Linked DNA regions of Saccharomyces cerevisiae S288C. The protein of the gene in region 4 binds, or shares a complex with, the protein of the main gene of each other region. Each region holds a gene or a part of one and is shown on either strand. Other genes may lie near its edges.

Region 1 (3,451 bases), on a different chromosome or scaffold from region 4:
ATCCATCGATACTGTTAAGTTCCACGCTGATACTTGGACCCGTGGTAACGATGGTGGTGGTGGTACCTCTATGGTTATCCAAGACGGTACAACTTTCGAAAAAGGTGGTGTTAATGTCTCCGTTGTTTATGGTCAATTGAGCCCAGCGGCCGTTTCAGCCATGAAAGCTGATCATAAGAATCTGCGTCTACCAGAAGATCCAAAGACTGGTTTGCCAGTTACCGACGGTGTCAAGTTCTTCGCTTGTGGTTTAAGTATGGTCATTCATCCCGTTAACCCACACGCTCCAACCACGCACTTAAACTACCGTTACTTCGAAACTTGGAACCAAGATGGGACCCCACAAACTTGGTGGTTTGGTGGTGGTGCTGATTTGACACCTTCTTACTTATACGAAGAAGACGGTCAATTATTCCACCAACTGCACAAGGATGCCTTGGACAAGCACGACACTGCTTTGTACCCACGTTTCAAGAAATGGTGTGATGAGTACTTCTACATTACCCACCGTAAGGAAACACGTGGTATTGGTGGTATATTCTTTGACGATTATGATGAACGTGACCCACAAGAAATATTGAAGATGGTTGAAGACTGTTTCGATGCTTTCTTGCCATCCTACTTGACTATCGTCAAGAGAAGAAAAGATATGCCATATACAAAGGAAGAACAACAATGGCAGGCCATTAGACGTGGTAGATACGTTGAATTCAACTTAATCTACGATAGAGGTACCCAATTCGGTTTGAGAACCCCAGGCTCTAGAGTTGAGTCAATTTTGATGAGTTTGCCTGAACATGCTTCATGGTTATACAACCACCACCCTGCTCCTGGTTCCAGAGAAGCTAAATTACTAGAAGTTACCACCAAACCAAGAGAGTGGGTTAAATAATTCAAGGTTCTTTAGCAGACCGATTTTATGATCTCAATGACAATGATGATTTAATTATTTCGACCACTTATTTATACATTTTTTTATCTATTTATTATACCTCCTTTACATAATTCTTCAAATTCAATTGATACAGGATCTCTATTCTTAAAAATATTAATTATTGCGTCCTATTTATGATGCAAGTTCACAGTACGTGCAGGATCAAAAATTATATCAGTATCTATTGCTCTAAAAATATGGCAGCAGCCTTCATTCTCAATATGCGATCATGCCTTCTAATCAAATTTTAAGATGTTTTTATTACTCTTTTTATTCTTAGAAAATTCATCTTATATTCAAGGACTTCTTAATTTTCCTTCCATCTATGACCACAGTTTACACACTTATAAAAGGTAGTCATCGGCTCATCAGCTGACCTAATTTGTAGTTGGAAAAAGTAAGCACTCTCACCACCACAAGTATCATAATTGGGACATTGGGTTTTGGTTTGATCCACATTGTCCCAACCACCACCAAGAACATCATCAACTTCCTTTCTTGGAAGTTTCTTCCTATCATAGATTTCTATACCCTCTATAGGAAACTCATATGGACATGAACGGCATGCTAATGTATATACACCACTATCGCCACTCGTTATCAGTAGCATATTGTTACACGAAGGACAAAACGAAAGCATCCTAAATTATGTATTTTACGTTTTACCAATGAATGCGAACTCTTTTGCTTATATAGCCATATAACGTATGCGTTTTCCAGAAAGAAGATTCTCGGTTATGCTTTTGGATAAAACTTTTCCTACTGTTCTTTTGAACTGGATTTGAATTTTATATCGATCATCTTGCCATGTAATAATAGATGTCCAAAAATTTCATCTGCCATTTTTTTATTTTCCCGTTCGTTCACTTGCTCTAGTTTTTTTTTTTTTTTTTTTCAATACTCGGATTTGAAAATGTTAATGGGAGTGGCGCTAAAAACCTTCATCTGTAGTTGAATGCTATGACATGAGCAACACAAAATCATTTAGACAACGTTGAGTAAGGTGGTTCGGTCCGAACAACAGTTTCATGCTTGTGTTACTTCGTTTATGAATATAATATACAAATATTTAAAATGCTATTTATTATGCACTAACACCAAAATTTGTAGACTCTGACGAATATTGAAGAGTTCTTTAACCTTTCTTTATTTTCTTCGTCCTCCTGCCTCATTATTTCAGGGTCGTAAACTCTTCTATGAAAGTCCAAGTCGATCTTGTCCAGTGGGTTTAAAAAGGTAAAATCTCTTTTGTAAACCATGTATCCAACATACATGAATATCCATAGCGGGGCAGCCAGATAACTCTCGAAGAATGCCTGAGCATCACACTTTCCGCCATTTCCTATTGGAGACAGTGCGACCCAAAATTGGGCCATAAAGACAAGCATATTGAAAAAAACCCCATAGTATGAACCCCATATACCGGTATTGGCCTTATAGCCGACTTCATCAAGTGATCTTCCTTGGACTTTCATCGCTTTTCTGAATCGAATGTGTGAAAGCATAATGCCTGACCATGTGAAAAGTTCACTCAAACCTGCAATGGCTGCCAACCATGTAAATGCTTGCTCTTCCTGTGGAGAACAGGCGACGAAGCCAACGACACCAACAAGAGAGCACACTACCAAGGCCCTTAAAGGTCTTCCCTCCCTATCAATATAGTTCAAAAATTTTGGAGCATAGCCCTGTTGAGCCAAGGAACACATTAATCTCGGTGCGGCATAAAGGGCAGAGTTCGCAACAGAGATGACTGATATCAAAATAACAGCATTAATGATATGGGGGATGACCCTAACCTTGTGAATAGAGGCTGCCAAGACATATGGTGAAGCGTGCGTTGCGGAGCCACCGGAACCCATCAATTGATCGTTATTGTGAGGAACATTGAACCCAATTAGAATCATTGTCAGCAAATAAATGATCAAAATACGATATACACTTCTCTTCGCGGCTACAGGAGTGGATTTTCTAGGGTTAGACTGCTCATTGATGGAAAGAACAAATAATTCAATACCACCGAAGGAGAAATATGCAGATACTAGAATATAACATATCCCTTTGAAACGAGTGGCACCGCTGCCTTCTGCAAATGAACCAGGGTCGCGCCAATATTTGCCGCCAATATAGCCGTCCACACCGGCTCCCCCACAATTGATGACGACTGATAAAATAATGAATCCTGCAACCATCAATATCTTACAGGAATTGAAGATAAATTCCGTTTCACCGTATGCCTTAACACCAAAAAAGTGGATAAACAATAAAAACACATAGAAAATGACAATGAATACATCAGCATTAATTGTGTCATTCCAGTACTTGACGGTCATGGAAGAAGTAATCAATTCCAACGGTAGCACAGTTAACCACTGAATGCAAAATAACCAAGTGGTCGCGAACCCAAACGACTTTGAAATAAAGATTGAATTGTATGCATTGAAGTTACCTGGAAGCGTCGGATAAGTGACACCCATCTCACCAGCCGCTTGGACCATAAAATACGTGACGAAGGACACC
Region 2 (4,166 bases), on a different chromosome or scaffold from region 4:
CTATTTAGTAGAGAAAACTTTTTGGAGCAAATCATACAAGCATCAGAATCAATCCAATCTGCGGGCGTCTTCGAGTCAAACATTGCAGTCGGAGAATTGGAAAGTGTTAGCTTTTCAGGGAATTTAATGCCACGAGAGATTAATTTATCATAAACTTTTGCCACATAGTTAAGTTGCGAATCATTTTTGAAGGCTACGTATAGTTCATATAATATGGTCTTTACCAGCTCAGAAAGTTCTTCGTTGCTATCTTCTCTTAAAATGACATGTTCCATGGTATCCATGAACTCTCTGGAACAAATTTCCTTAATAAAAGGCGTTCCACCATTTTTTACACATATATTGGTAAGCTTCCAGGAAGACAATTGGGTATTTGGATTATCGGCCGTATTGAGAATCCTTTTCTTTATACAACGCATAGAATCTTTGGGATTTACCCTTCTAGATCTTAACACATCTGAAATTTCCAACGCTATGGGGAGATCAAGGTCACCGTTGGGAATGCTCTCACTAGTGGCTTGTTCTATTAATGCGTCTAACTCACTTGGCGTGCTAACGGACATACTGTTCTTAGTTCTTTACTCACTACTCATTCACCTTAGCAAAAAAAAATCTTGATAATTTTACACCCTCTATTTTTAAATTCCCTCTGCTAATGATGATTATTTCAGGTATCATCGAAATTTTCAGAAAAGGAGGCCGAGCAAGATGATTCTGCTGCTCCGCAAGAAATAGCAGTAGCGTATGTATTACCAAAATCCAAAATCTTGTGAAGGTTACTTTATATAAGTGAGGCTCAAAGGACACCAGGCGTCTATAAATGTATACAAAGTAGCTGTTTTGACATATTACCAAAAAATCGGGAAAATACCTAGGTTGGTTAATGATGAACTCGAAAGAGCCTTAAGAAAAGTTGATTCAACAACATATGGTGTATGGTCGCTCCGAACAGTTTGCTTTTGTCTAGTACATAGTTACTGGTGAACTTTCCTGGATATGCGCGTGCTAACTAGAGCATTTTATGTTGATAATTAATTTAAATTGCATGATACAGATTACGAGACGAAAGATAGTCGATTATATATCTTTCAATCTTGGTTTAGTTTGGCAGCAAAAGCTAAAAGGTAGGCTCCGTGCATATTAGATGAGTGAACACACTTTAGGTTTATTCTTGTATGAAATCATTCACTTCGACCTCTTCCAAGATCAAATTCTCTAATGGATTACTTATGAGTTTACCAAATTCGTCAAATTCCAACCTGACTACATTCAAATTCTTAACATATGAGACATCAATCTCATCCTTAATGATATTATCAGCAGGCGGAGGATCCTTCAACTTTTTATATTCCTTGCCCTTCAAAACATACCACAGGTTAAGGCATCTTCTTATAATTTCCGGATTGACTGTCTTCGCACCTTCTTCGTTCCATTTATGGAAATTAGAACGACAAATTTTTAGAGCTCTAGACTTTAAATGTGCATTTCTTGCTATATTCTGAAAATATGGCTCCAATACTGCGGAGTATTCCTTCGGAATTCGATTCAAGTCCGTTAATCCGTCTAGTAAACCTTCTAAGTTAGAGTAATTGTATAAATCTATCATCCGAGGAGATCCTCTTCTCTTTGCTTATGCATTTAGTCTCCTTTGATTTCTCAAGTTTATAATTTTTTTCTTTTTTTCTCACTTTTTAATACCTTTTAATAGCCGCTATTTTTTTAATTTTAGTTAAGTTTTCTTCTAATTTTGAATATAAAAAGTCATCTTATAACTAGTACATTTTATATGAAGGAGTTTCTATAGGTTTTAAAGGTGTGCAAAAAAAAAAAACAGCGTTAAAAGGCTACGAGTAAAACCAGATTCTTGGAAGACTTTGCTTACATGTGAGCAATTGAGAAGAAAAGGCAGGGGGCATTAAACGTTACGGCTACGGTTCGTCCGCACTACTCACTACATCGCCTACCGTAGCATACCTACGCTCACCCATTGCCATACCCACAGTAAATATGTAAATCGTTTATTAAAATGTTTAAGCCCTTGTTTGGTAGTATATTTAGAATCCAACTAGATGATATTGCAATTATTTAATCTTTTTGTTTTTAAGTAACATCGCGCACAGGCACTTTTTTTTTCCTTCAAATCTTTTATTGTATTAAAAATTTTCAAGTTGATTTGCGATGTATTTGTGAGATGAGATCATTACAGAAAATCTTAATCAAGTGAAGAATTTACAGCGCCAATATCCTGAATATGAGTGGAATGATAGAAAATGGGTTACAGCTATCGGACAATGCTAAAACCTTACATAGCCAGATGATGTCGAAAGGAATAGGCGCATTATTTACACAGCAAGAACTCCAAAAACAAATGGGAATCGGGTCGTTAACAGACTTGATGTCCATTGTACAGGAATTGCTAGACAAGAACTTGATCAAATTAGTAAAACAAAACGACGAATTAAAATTTCAAGGTGTCTTAGAATCTGAGGCGCAAAAGAAAGCCACCATGTCGGCTGAAGAGGCACTGGTATATTCTTATATCGAGGCTAGCGGTAGAGAAGGGATATGGTCCAAGACTATCAAGGCAAGAACCAATCTCCATCAGCATGTAGTTCTTAAATGCTTGAAGAGTTTAGAATCCCAAAGATACGTGAAGAGTGTTAAGAGTGTAAAGTTTCCCACAAGGAAAATCTACATGTTGTACAGCTTACAACCCTCTGTGGACATCACAGGAGGTCCATGGTTCACAGATGGAGAGCTGGATATAGAATTTATCAATAGTTTATTGACTATTGTTTGGAGGTTCATATCAGAGAACACCTTCCCTAATGGCTTCAAGAATTTCGAAAATGGACCCAAAAAAAACGTCTTTTATGCTCCAAACGTAAAAAATTACTCTACCACACAAGAAATTTTGGAATTTATTACAGCGGCACAAGTGGCCAATGTCGAGTTAACCCCTTCAAATATCAGATCTTTGTGTGAAGTCTTAGTGTACGACGACAAGCTGGAAAAAGTCACGCATGACTGCTATAGAGTGACCTTAGAGAGCATTCTACAAATGAACCAAGGTGAGGGCGAGCCGGAGGCAGGTAATAAGGCTTTGGAGGATGAAGAAGAATTTTCCATCTTTAACTACTTCAAGATGTTTCCGGCTTCAAAACACGACAAGGAAGTGGTCTATTTCGATGAATGGACAATTTGAAGTTCTTGACTACCCCTATCTCACACTAGTACGTAATTCAATGTATCATTCGTATTGTAAGTAGATAGAGACGCAATACAGGAAAGCTGACCTTCCTTCCAATCACCACGGCTGAAATGCTTTGTTGACCAATTACGGACGCTTAAGAGCGGACGCGGCTGGAACGGCTCCATCCTAAATCGGCGGAGGGAGAACTCCGATACCAGCCGACATGGCAATAATAGTGACAGTAGATGCTACCAGCCCCGCAATAATTTCACAGTAGATCATCAACAGTCTCCTCATTTCTGGAAATGATCAGCAACTTCGACGGATTTAACTCTCAAGCAGTTACGCACTCCGAGAACAGCCGTGATCATCTTTGAACAAGCAAAATATATAAAGCAGGAGAACTGTCCTACCTAGAGCTAGAATAGCCATAACTAACTATGTAACATTCTACAGATCAATCAAAAACAATCTTCAATCACAGAAAAAAATAAAAGGCATGTCTGACAGAGAACAAAGCAGCGGCAACACCGCTTTTGAGAACCCTAAGGCACTCGATTCTTCCGAGGGTGAGTTCATCTCTGAAAACAACGATCAGAGCCGCCACTCGCAAGAGTCCATATGCAAAATATATACTGCGGGCAAAAACAACGAGTATATTTACATCGGCCGTCAAAAATTTTTAAGGGATGATTTGTTCGAGGCATTCGGTGGTACTCTGAATCCCGGTTTAGCCCCCGCGCCAGTCCATAAATTCGCAAATCCTGCTCCACTAGGACTTTCCGGTTTTGCCCTCACTACGTTTGTCCTATCCATGTTCAATGCAAGAGCCCAAGGCATCACTATCCCTAATGTTGTTGTTGGGTGTGCCATGTTTTACGGTGGCCTCGTTCAACTCATTGCTGGTATTTGGGAAATCGCTTTAGAGAACACTTTCGGTGGTACAGCCCTGTGTTCCTTCGGCGGTTTTTGG
Region 3 (4,141 bases), on a different chromosome or scaffold from region 4:
CATCTTGAAGAAATATATCGAGGTTTTCTACGTTTGCCCATTTCCACAGAGCCCGCTCTTTCACGCTCAACGTATTGATTCTATCTTCCGGGGTATTGTTTAAAACGGATATATTGCTCAGTAAATTTGGCTTTCTTAATGGAAACAATTTAGTGAACCTGTTTGTATTATTTAAGGGCGAACCGGTAAACCGAGGTTGTGTAGCACTACCAAAGTATTTAGTGCCATGCTTTTGATTACCATTAATGTTACGGGGACCATTATTTGCACTCTTGTCCTTATCATGGTGAATGGCGTTCGACGAAGTAAATAGCTTTTGGGTATCACGTTGAGGGCGGTTATTCTGTAAGATATGCCTGAAAAACAAAGGTCGTTTACCGTCCTCTATAGTATTGCTTTTCTTAGAGCTAAATTCATGAATCTTGCTTTTTTGAAAAAGGGGCGTATCGTCATCAAATCCATCATTATTTATGAACTCATTATCCTCTTCTTCTTCTGACGAAAGCTGTCCGACTTTGGGCACAGAATCATCGGTAGAGCCTTCAACCAGTCTTTCTAAATTGCTTTTTTCCGTTTCAAGTACATTTTCTTTGCTCGTTACAGAATTTAGCTGGTGGTCTCCATCCAATCCATCACTAATCTGTGGAGCATACGCCTGGACTTGCTCTTCATCTACTTCATCCTCTTCTTCTGTACTAGTGCCTTGGTCAGACTCAGGAACACGTAAGTCATTCTCATCTACATCTTCGCGGCTGTCGTTAGTAGAATGCAATAAAGATGAGCCTCTCTCTATGTCTGGTAAAGGGAAGTTGCTCATCTCCTGGCTATTAAGAGAAGGATTAACTTCATCCGATTGTAAACCAAATATTCGCGATAAGAAAGTATTCTTCCCATGAGAGTTGGGTAACTGGTATTCATCTCTCTCCATAACCTAATAATTCCGTGATTTTGATATTTCAGGCTGTTCTTAAATGTCTTCTTATCAAAGTGAGATACTCATTACTTCACGGTGGTTATGGCGCTTCTTTTTGTTTAAAGTGTGGCTCCCCTAAAGTTCCGAAACTGGGTAACAATAACTAGAATAACATTACCAATGTTCAAAGAGGATGAGAAATTGTAGAAGACAAGACGTCAATAGTACCTTTTGAATGGGAATCTAAGCATCTTAATTAGTGTAATTTGTTCTAGAAGTATTTATGACTGTGTATATTCATTTATATACTCGACAGATGCGAGTGCGATTAGATTTGAGGTGTGACTACTATTTTACCGTCCACACGGCCTAGAAGTTCCGCTGAGGATGCATCATCAGCGATACTTAATGCTATAACATCTTGTAAAAATGTGGTTTCGGCACCTTTGCCAATATCCATCACCACATTTCCAATTTTCACGGAAAGTTTTCCAGATTTGTGAACCCGTATAGACCCAACCTTGCCGGCAAGTTCTCTAGTAGACAAAGCATCCTTCGTGTCCTTCTTTTTAATATTCTTCTTCTTCTTTGAAGGGTCGCTAGCCTGGGTTTCCATGTCTTCTTTTTCTTCTTTCACAGCGGGTCTTTCAAAAGCTGGTAACCTAGTAGGTAACTGGAATACCATGAATCTTTCTGGTTTATTATTCATTTTCTTTAGTTTTCGTAATATATGCTGATGATCTGCATTTAATAATTCCAACTCAGCGGCCGCTTCTTTCCCATCAACCGATTGAAACTCCTTTTCAAGTCCAAGATCTGCCAGTTTCTCATTGACTTGCCTTTCTCTTTCTTCCAAATAAGATTGTAATCCGGTTCCGACAGGCTCTGTCTTCACACTGGGGGTTGGTTCACGAGTTGGCTTTTCTGAAAGAGCTTCTTGTATTTCTCTTTTGACAGTTTCAACGTCTTCGTGTCTTACGCGGACAGGTCTCACAGGGAATAACTGTTCAATCCGTTTAGATCTCCATTCTTCGTCATCCATGTCGACGTCACTGCTCTTTTCACTTTCGCCGTCATCTTCGTCCTCTATGAGATTGCGTGCCTCGAATTCTTTTCCCATATTGAACTTCTTCTTAGATTTGGACGCTACACCTTCATTATCATCGTCTTCTGCCTCATTCTCAGAGCTCTCAGCACCATTGTCAATAGTTTCCAGGCCCTTTTGCACAAGAGATGACCCGCTTCCTTCTGATTTGATGAATCCTCTTCTCAAATCACCCTTCTCACTTACAAAGTTCCCAGCCGCCAATGGACCGCTAGAGATAACGTGTGTGTTATTTAAGTATTTGGCCATTCGCCTTTGCTGGCCGCCAGCGCCGGTTACTCTTTTATTCTTGTTATTGAAATGTTTCTTGTCATTACCTCTCTTAGATTCCTCCTCTAGCTTTACTTTGGACGCAGCTGCTTCTCTTTCTTCCTTGGACTTTCTTGCAACTGCTTTTGGTTTAAACTTTAATGAGGGCTTGGCAGATCCTCCTCCATTGGAGGAGGAATCTTTTAATGATGGCAAGCGCCCATTTCCTTTATTACTGCTCATACTTAATGAATGCTATCCCGCTTAATAAAAAACAAGATTACGCTTCGACTTTCGGTTAGTCTAGCAAATTATAAATACCTCAATATCTTTCTAGCTGTCCTCTTTTGAATTGTTCTCTTGAATACCATAATTCTCTGGTCATTATCTTCTGCTGATCAAAAAATTGGACTTTGCAGGGCGGATGAAAAATTTTCAAACTGCGCTTCTGCAATGAAAAAAAATTCAATAATGAAGCTCATCTCATCATAGCTCATCTCACTGATGCTTTTATACAAAAAGTTTTGGAGGAAGAGAAAACATATTAGAGTGGGTGTATAGAATAATATGGTACGCAAAGGCTCAAACAGAACTAAGACCTCTGAAGTTGGGGATGAGATTAATCCGTATGGTTTAAACGAAGTTGATGATTTTGCTTCTAAAAGGGAAAAGGTTTTACTTGGACAATCCACCTTTGGCGACAGTAATAAAGATGATGACCATTCTCTGTTAGAAGACGAAGATGAGGAAGAAGTCTTAGCCATGGATGAAGATGATGAGTCAATAGATGAAAGAGAAGATGAGGAAGAAGAAGAGGAAGAGGAACTAGATGGTGCTGCAGCCTATAAGAAAATATTTGGTAGAAACTTAGAAACTGACCAGCTTCCTGAGGAAGATGAAGAGAATGGTATGTTAGACAACGAGAATGCCTGGGGGTCCACAAAAGGAGAATATTATGGGGCTGATGATTTAGATGATGACGAAGCTGCTAAGGAAATAGAAAAGGAAGCTTTACGACAACAAAAGAAGCATCTGGAAGAACTTAATATGAACGATTACTTAGATGAAGAAGAAGAAGAAGAGTGGGTCAAAAGTGCCAAAGAATTTGACATGGGTGAATTTAAGAACTCGACCAAGCAGGCTGATACTAAAACTTCCATAACGGATATTCTAAATATGGATGACGAAGCAAGGGATAACTATTTAAGGACAATGTTTCCTGAATTTGCTCCACTTTCAAAAGAATTCACAGAATTAGCTCCAAAGTTTGACGAATTAAAGAAATCTGAGGAAAATGAGTTCAATAAATTAAAGCTAATTGCACTTGGAAGTTACCTAGGCACAATATCATGTTACTATAGTATCTTGTTGCACGAACTCCATAATAATGAAGATTTCACATCTATGAAGGGACATCCGGTCATGGAAAAGATTTTAACGACAAAAGAGATTTGGAGGCAAGCCAGCGAATTGCCATCTAGTTTTGATGTGAATGAAGGAGATGGTTCTGAAAGTGAAGAAACCGCAAACATTGAGGCCTTTAACGAAAAGAAGCTGAATGAGTTGCAAAACAGTGAAGATTCTGATGCAGAGGATGGAGGAAAACAAAAGCAAGAAATTGATGAAGAAGAAAGAGAAAGCGATGAAGAAGAAGAAGAAGAAGATGTTGATATTGACGATTTTGAAGAGTACGTAGCACAATCACGTCTGCATTCTAAACCGAAAACATCATCAATGCCTGAAGCTGATGATTTCATTGAATCTGAGATTGCTGATGTGGACGCACAAGACAAAAAAGCTCGTAGAAGAACTTTGCGTTTCTATACTTCGAAAATTGATCAACAAGAAAATAAAAAGACGGATAGATTCAAAGG
Region 4 (3,724 bases):
TAAAGACCAAATTGAAAAGCTGAGAGAAGTTGTCGAGCTGCCCTTATTATCTCCAGAAAGATTTGCTACTCTTGGTATTGATCCACCAAAGGGTATCTTATTATATGGGCCACCTGGTACTGGTAAGACATTATGTGCTCGTGCTGTTGCTAATAGAACTGATGCAACTTTTATTAGGGTCATTGGGTCTGAGCTAGTGCAAAAATATGTCGGTGAAGGTGCTCGTATGGTTAGAGAATTATTTGAAATGGCTCGTACCAAAAAGGCTTGCATTATATTCTTCGATGAAATCGACGCTGTTGGTGGTGCTCGTTTTGATGATGGTGCTGGTGGTGATAATGAAGTTCAAAGAACTATGTTAGAACTGATTACACAGTTAGACGGGTTTGACCCTCGTGGTAACATTAAAGTGATGTTTGCCACCAATAGGCCCAACACTTTAGATCCAGCTTTATTGAGACCCGGTAGAATTGATCGTAAGGTAGAGTTTTCATTACCTGACTTGGAAGGTCGTGCAAATATCTTCCGTATTCACTCTAAATCAATGAGTGTGGAACGTGGCATCAGATGGGAACTTATCTCCAGACTGTGTCCAAACTCTACCGGTGCAGAATTAAGATCTGTTTGCACAGAAGCCGGTATGTTTGCCATTAGAGCAAGAAGAAAGGTGGCTACTGAAAAGGATTTCCTGAAGGCTGTTGATAAAGTTATTAGCGGATACAAGAAGTTTAGTTCCACATCGCGTTATATGCAATATAATTGACGTCAATGTACTTTTTTATTATATATTATGAGAAGGGTTAATAAAAACAACAAGTACAACTACAACTATCGAGATAAAAAGGATACGAGAGTATCCCCTCAAATAGAGAAAGAATTAGCGTATATAATGCTAAAGAAAATTCACGTTTATTATATATTATTATCCTCATTATTACTGTTACTATTATTATTAAATGTTTTATTGAAGTCAGTGGCGTCCTTATCTATCATTCCCACCAACTAACGAGTCCCATGCCATCAGTTTGACAACTACCTAATAGGGCATATGCTGGAGGTTTTTCGTTTTGAGGAGTTTCTTCATTCTTACCCTCAATCTCATTCTCTAATTGAGCTCTTTCCTCCAATTCTCGTTCTTTGGGTGATTTTGGCTTCACATCAACAAAAACTTCTCTTTCGATTCTGAATCTAATTTTTTCATTTACATCGAAATATAGTTTCGTCTCTTCATCCATGGGCCAAATCCATGCACTTTCTTCAGGGGTATAATAGCACCCTTCGAATAACATATTTTGTGGGATAAAAATGTCATCAAATATACCTAACAGTGAAACTTTTATGCCTTCTGCTGTACATTTAGAAATCCATCCAGTTACTATCTCACCTAGAAACGGTTTGAAAACAACGGCTCGAAATGTAACGTTAATATAGGATGATCCATCGCCTGGCTTCAATTGGCCTTCCTCGACGGTTAATAAGTCGTAAATCGTAATACATAGACCGACATTGGGAATAATCTTGTTGGCGAACTTATTATTTAACTGATGTGTGATTGCCGATATTGTATCGCGATGGAATTGATCGGGCGGGATTCGTACCAAGTCAGCGATTTTTGAAAGGATAAACATATTACCTTGTTCAATGAATTTTCTAATTTAAATAGTACTACAGAATGTCTTTATACTACCCGATAGTTTCTTCCGAATAACGCTTCTTGCGTCTATTTCTGCACATGGCTTGAATATTCGTTATTATGATACGAAATTAACTAATCCGTATAACGCGACTGAAAATTTGTCAAATAAAAATTTTAAGCGATGAGCATCGCCTGAATATTATGAGCATCTAAATCAGGGTTCTTACCGAATCCTACGAGCAACCAGTATAGTATTTCAAAGACTTTAAGGGGAATATAAAAAGCACGAAGATGTCGAAGAAATTTAGCTCTAAAAACTCCCAAAGGTACGTGGTGGTACACAGACCCCATGATGATCCTTCATTTTATGATACAGATGCCTCTGCGCACGTTTTGGTTCCTGTCTCCAATCCAAATAAAACTTCTCCAGAAGCAGATCTTCGAAAAAAAGACGTGAGTTCAACAAAACCAAAGGGTAGGAGGGCTCATGTGGGAGAAGCAGCTTTATATGGTATTAATTTTGATGATTCTGAATACGATTATACTCAACATTTGAAGCCAATAGGTCTCGACCCTGAAAACTCCATCTTTATAGCATCCAAAGGCAATGAACAGAAGGTCGAAAAAAAAAACATTGAAGATTTATTCATCGAACCTAAGTATAGACGTGATGAAATTGAGAAGGATGACGCGCTACCTGTGTTTCAAAGAGGGATGGCAAAGCCAGAATATTTACTACACCAACAAGATACCACCGATGAAATTAGAGGTTTCAAACCTGATATGAATCCTGCATTAAGAGAGGTGCTTGAAGCTTTAGAAGATGAAGCATATGTTGTTAATGATGATGTTGTGGTTGAAGACATCAGCAAAAAGACACAACTTCAAGGCGATAACTATGGAGAAGAAGAAAAGGAAGATGACATTTTCGCACAATTACTAGGGAGCGGTGAAGCAAAAGATGAAGACGAATTCGAGGATGAGTTTGATGAGTGGGATATTGATAATGTAGAAAATTTTGAAGATGAAAACTACGTTAAGGAAATGGCGCAATTTGATAACATCGAAAACCTGGAGGACTTGGAAAATATCGATTATCAAGCTGATGTTCGAAGATTTCAAAAAGATAACTCTATACTAGAAAAGCATAACTCGGATGATGAATTTTCTAATGCAGGTTTAGACAGTGTAAATCCCTCTGAAGAGGAAGATGTGCTGGGCGAATTGCCCTCTATCCAAGACAAAAGCAAGACGGGGAAGAAGAAAAGAAAGAGCCGTCAAAAAAAGGGTGCCATGTCAGATGTATCTGGATTTTCCATGAGTTCAAGTGCCATTGCGCGTACAGAGACGATGACAGTACTGGATGATCAGTACGATCAAATCATCAATGGTTACGAAAATTATGAGGAAGAACTAGAAGAGGACGAAGAACAAAATTACCAACCATTTGACATGTCAGCAGAAAGATCTGATTTTGAGTCAATGCTTGATGACTTTTTGGACAATTACGAACTGGAGAGTGGTGGCCGTAAACTGGCTAAGAAAGATAAAGAAATTGAAAGGCTGAAGGAAGCTGCTGATGAAGTAAGCAAAGGTAAACTGTCTCAGAGAAGAAATCGTGAAAGGCAAGAGAAAAAGAAACTTGAGAAGGTCACCAATACACTAAGCAGCTTAAAATTTTAGAGGAGTAGAATGAGATGAGAAAGCACCTACATTACAAGTACTGTGTAGACATGTATACTTAGCCTAGAATGCATTGATGCTAAAATACATCCTGCCCACCGGGTAATAATTATGAAACGCGGCGGTGCTCTTTGTGGATTTCGGAGAAAGGGGGTGGAGGAAGGAGGTCGATTTTCATTATTCAAATATTGTTTTAGTATAAAGAAAACCGGCGTGCATTGCTTCAAAGAGCCGTTCAAATTAGTAACCGTTTGAGATATCTTGTCTTACTACTCGTATTCCGCAGATAAAGTACATTTTAAGAAAGGAAGTAAATACACATAAATAAATAGCAGGAAGAAAATGTCTAACGAAATTGAATTACTGCAGAAGCAAGTCTCTGAATTACAAGACTTAGTGAAGAAG

The links.
Region 1: RPC25 (region 4) and RPC11 share a complex: the UniProt entries of both Saccharomyces cerevisiae proteins name them as parts of the RNA polymerase III (Pol III) complex.
Region 2: RPC25 (region 4) and RPC34 share a complex: the UniProt entries of both Saccharomyces cerevisiae proteins name them as parts of the RNA polymerase III (Pol III) complex.
Region 3: RPC25 (region 4) and RPC53 share a complex: the UniProt entries of both Saccharomyces cerevisiae proteins name them as parts of the RNA polymerase III (Pol III) complex.

Annotation. Positions count from the first base shown.
Region 1 is NC_001136.10:546,737-550,187, forward strand, and holds RPC11 (DNA-directed RNA polymerase III core subunit RPC11), read right to left. Parts: upstream 1,575-3,451; coding exon 1,242-1,574; downstream 1-1,241. Other genes in the region: HEM13 (coproporphyrinogen oxidase), read left to right, coding at 1-892; amino acid transporter BAP3, read right to left, coding at 2,026-3,451. UniProt on the Saccharomyces cerevisiae protein: DNA-dependent RNA polymerase catalyzes the transcription of DNA into RNA using the four ribonucleoside triphosphates as substrates. Component of RNA polymerase III which synthesizes small RNAs, such as 5S rRNA and tRNAs.
Region 2 is NC_001146.8:633,383-637,548, reverse strand, and holds RPC34 (DNA-directed RNA polymerase III subunit C34), read left to right. Parts: upstream 1-2,251; coding exon 2,252-3,205; downstream 3,206-4,166. Other genes in the region: ESCRT-0 subunit protein VPS27, read right to left, coding at 1-563; SWM2 (Swm2p), read right to left, coding at 1,166-1,606; putative ammonium permease ATO2, read left to right, coding at 3,693-4,166. UniProt on the Saccharomyces cerevisiae protein: DNA-dependent RNA polymerase catalyzes the transcription of DNA into RNA using the four ribonucleoside triphosphates as substrates. Specific peripheric component of RNA polymerase III which synthesizes small RNAs, such as 5S rRNA and tRNAs.
Region 3 is NC_001136.10:181,712-185,852, reverse strand, and holds RPC53 (DNA-directed RNA polymerase III subunit C53), read right to left. Parts: upstream 2,511-4,141; coding exon 1,242-2,510; downstream 1-1,241. Other genes in the region: autophagy protein ATG9, read right to left, coding at 1-928; rRNA-processing protein SAS10, read left to right, coding at 2,835-4,141. UniProt on the Saccharomyces cerevisiae protein: DNA-dependent RNA polymerase catalyzes the transcription of DNA into RNA using the four ribonucleoside triphosphates as substrates. Specific peripheric component of RNA polymerase III which synthesizes small RNAs, such as 5S rRNA and tRNAs.
Region 4 is NC_001143.9:174,854-178,577, forward strand, and holds RPC25 (DNA-directed RNA polymerase III subunit RPC25), read right to left. Parts: upstream 1,629-3,724; coding exon 990-1,628; downstream 1-989. Other genes in the region: proteasome regulatory particle base subunit RPT1, read left to right, coding at 1-763; ribosome biogenesis protein LTV1, read left to right, coding at 1,928-3,319; MRP8 (Mrp8p), read left to right, coding at 3,662-3,724. UniProt on the Saccharomyces cerevisiae protein: DNA-dependent RNA polymerase catalyzes the transcription of DNA into RNA using the four ribonucleoside triphosphates as substrates. Specific peripheric component of RNA polymerase III which synthesizes small RNAs, such as 5S rRNA and tRNA.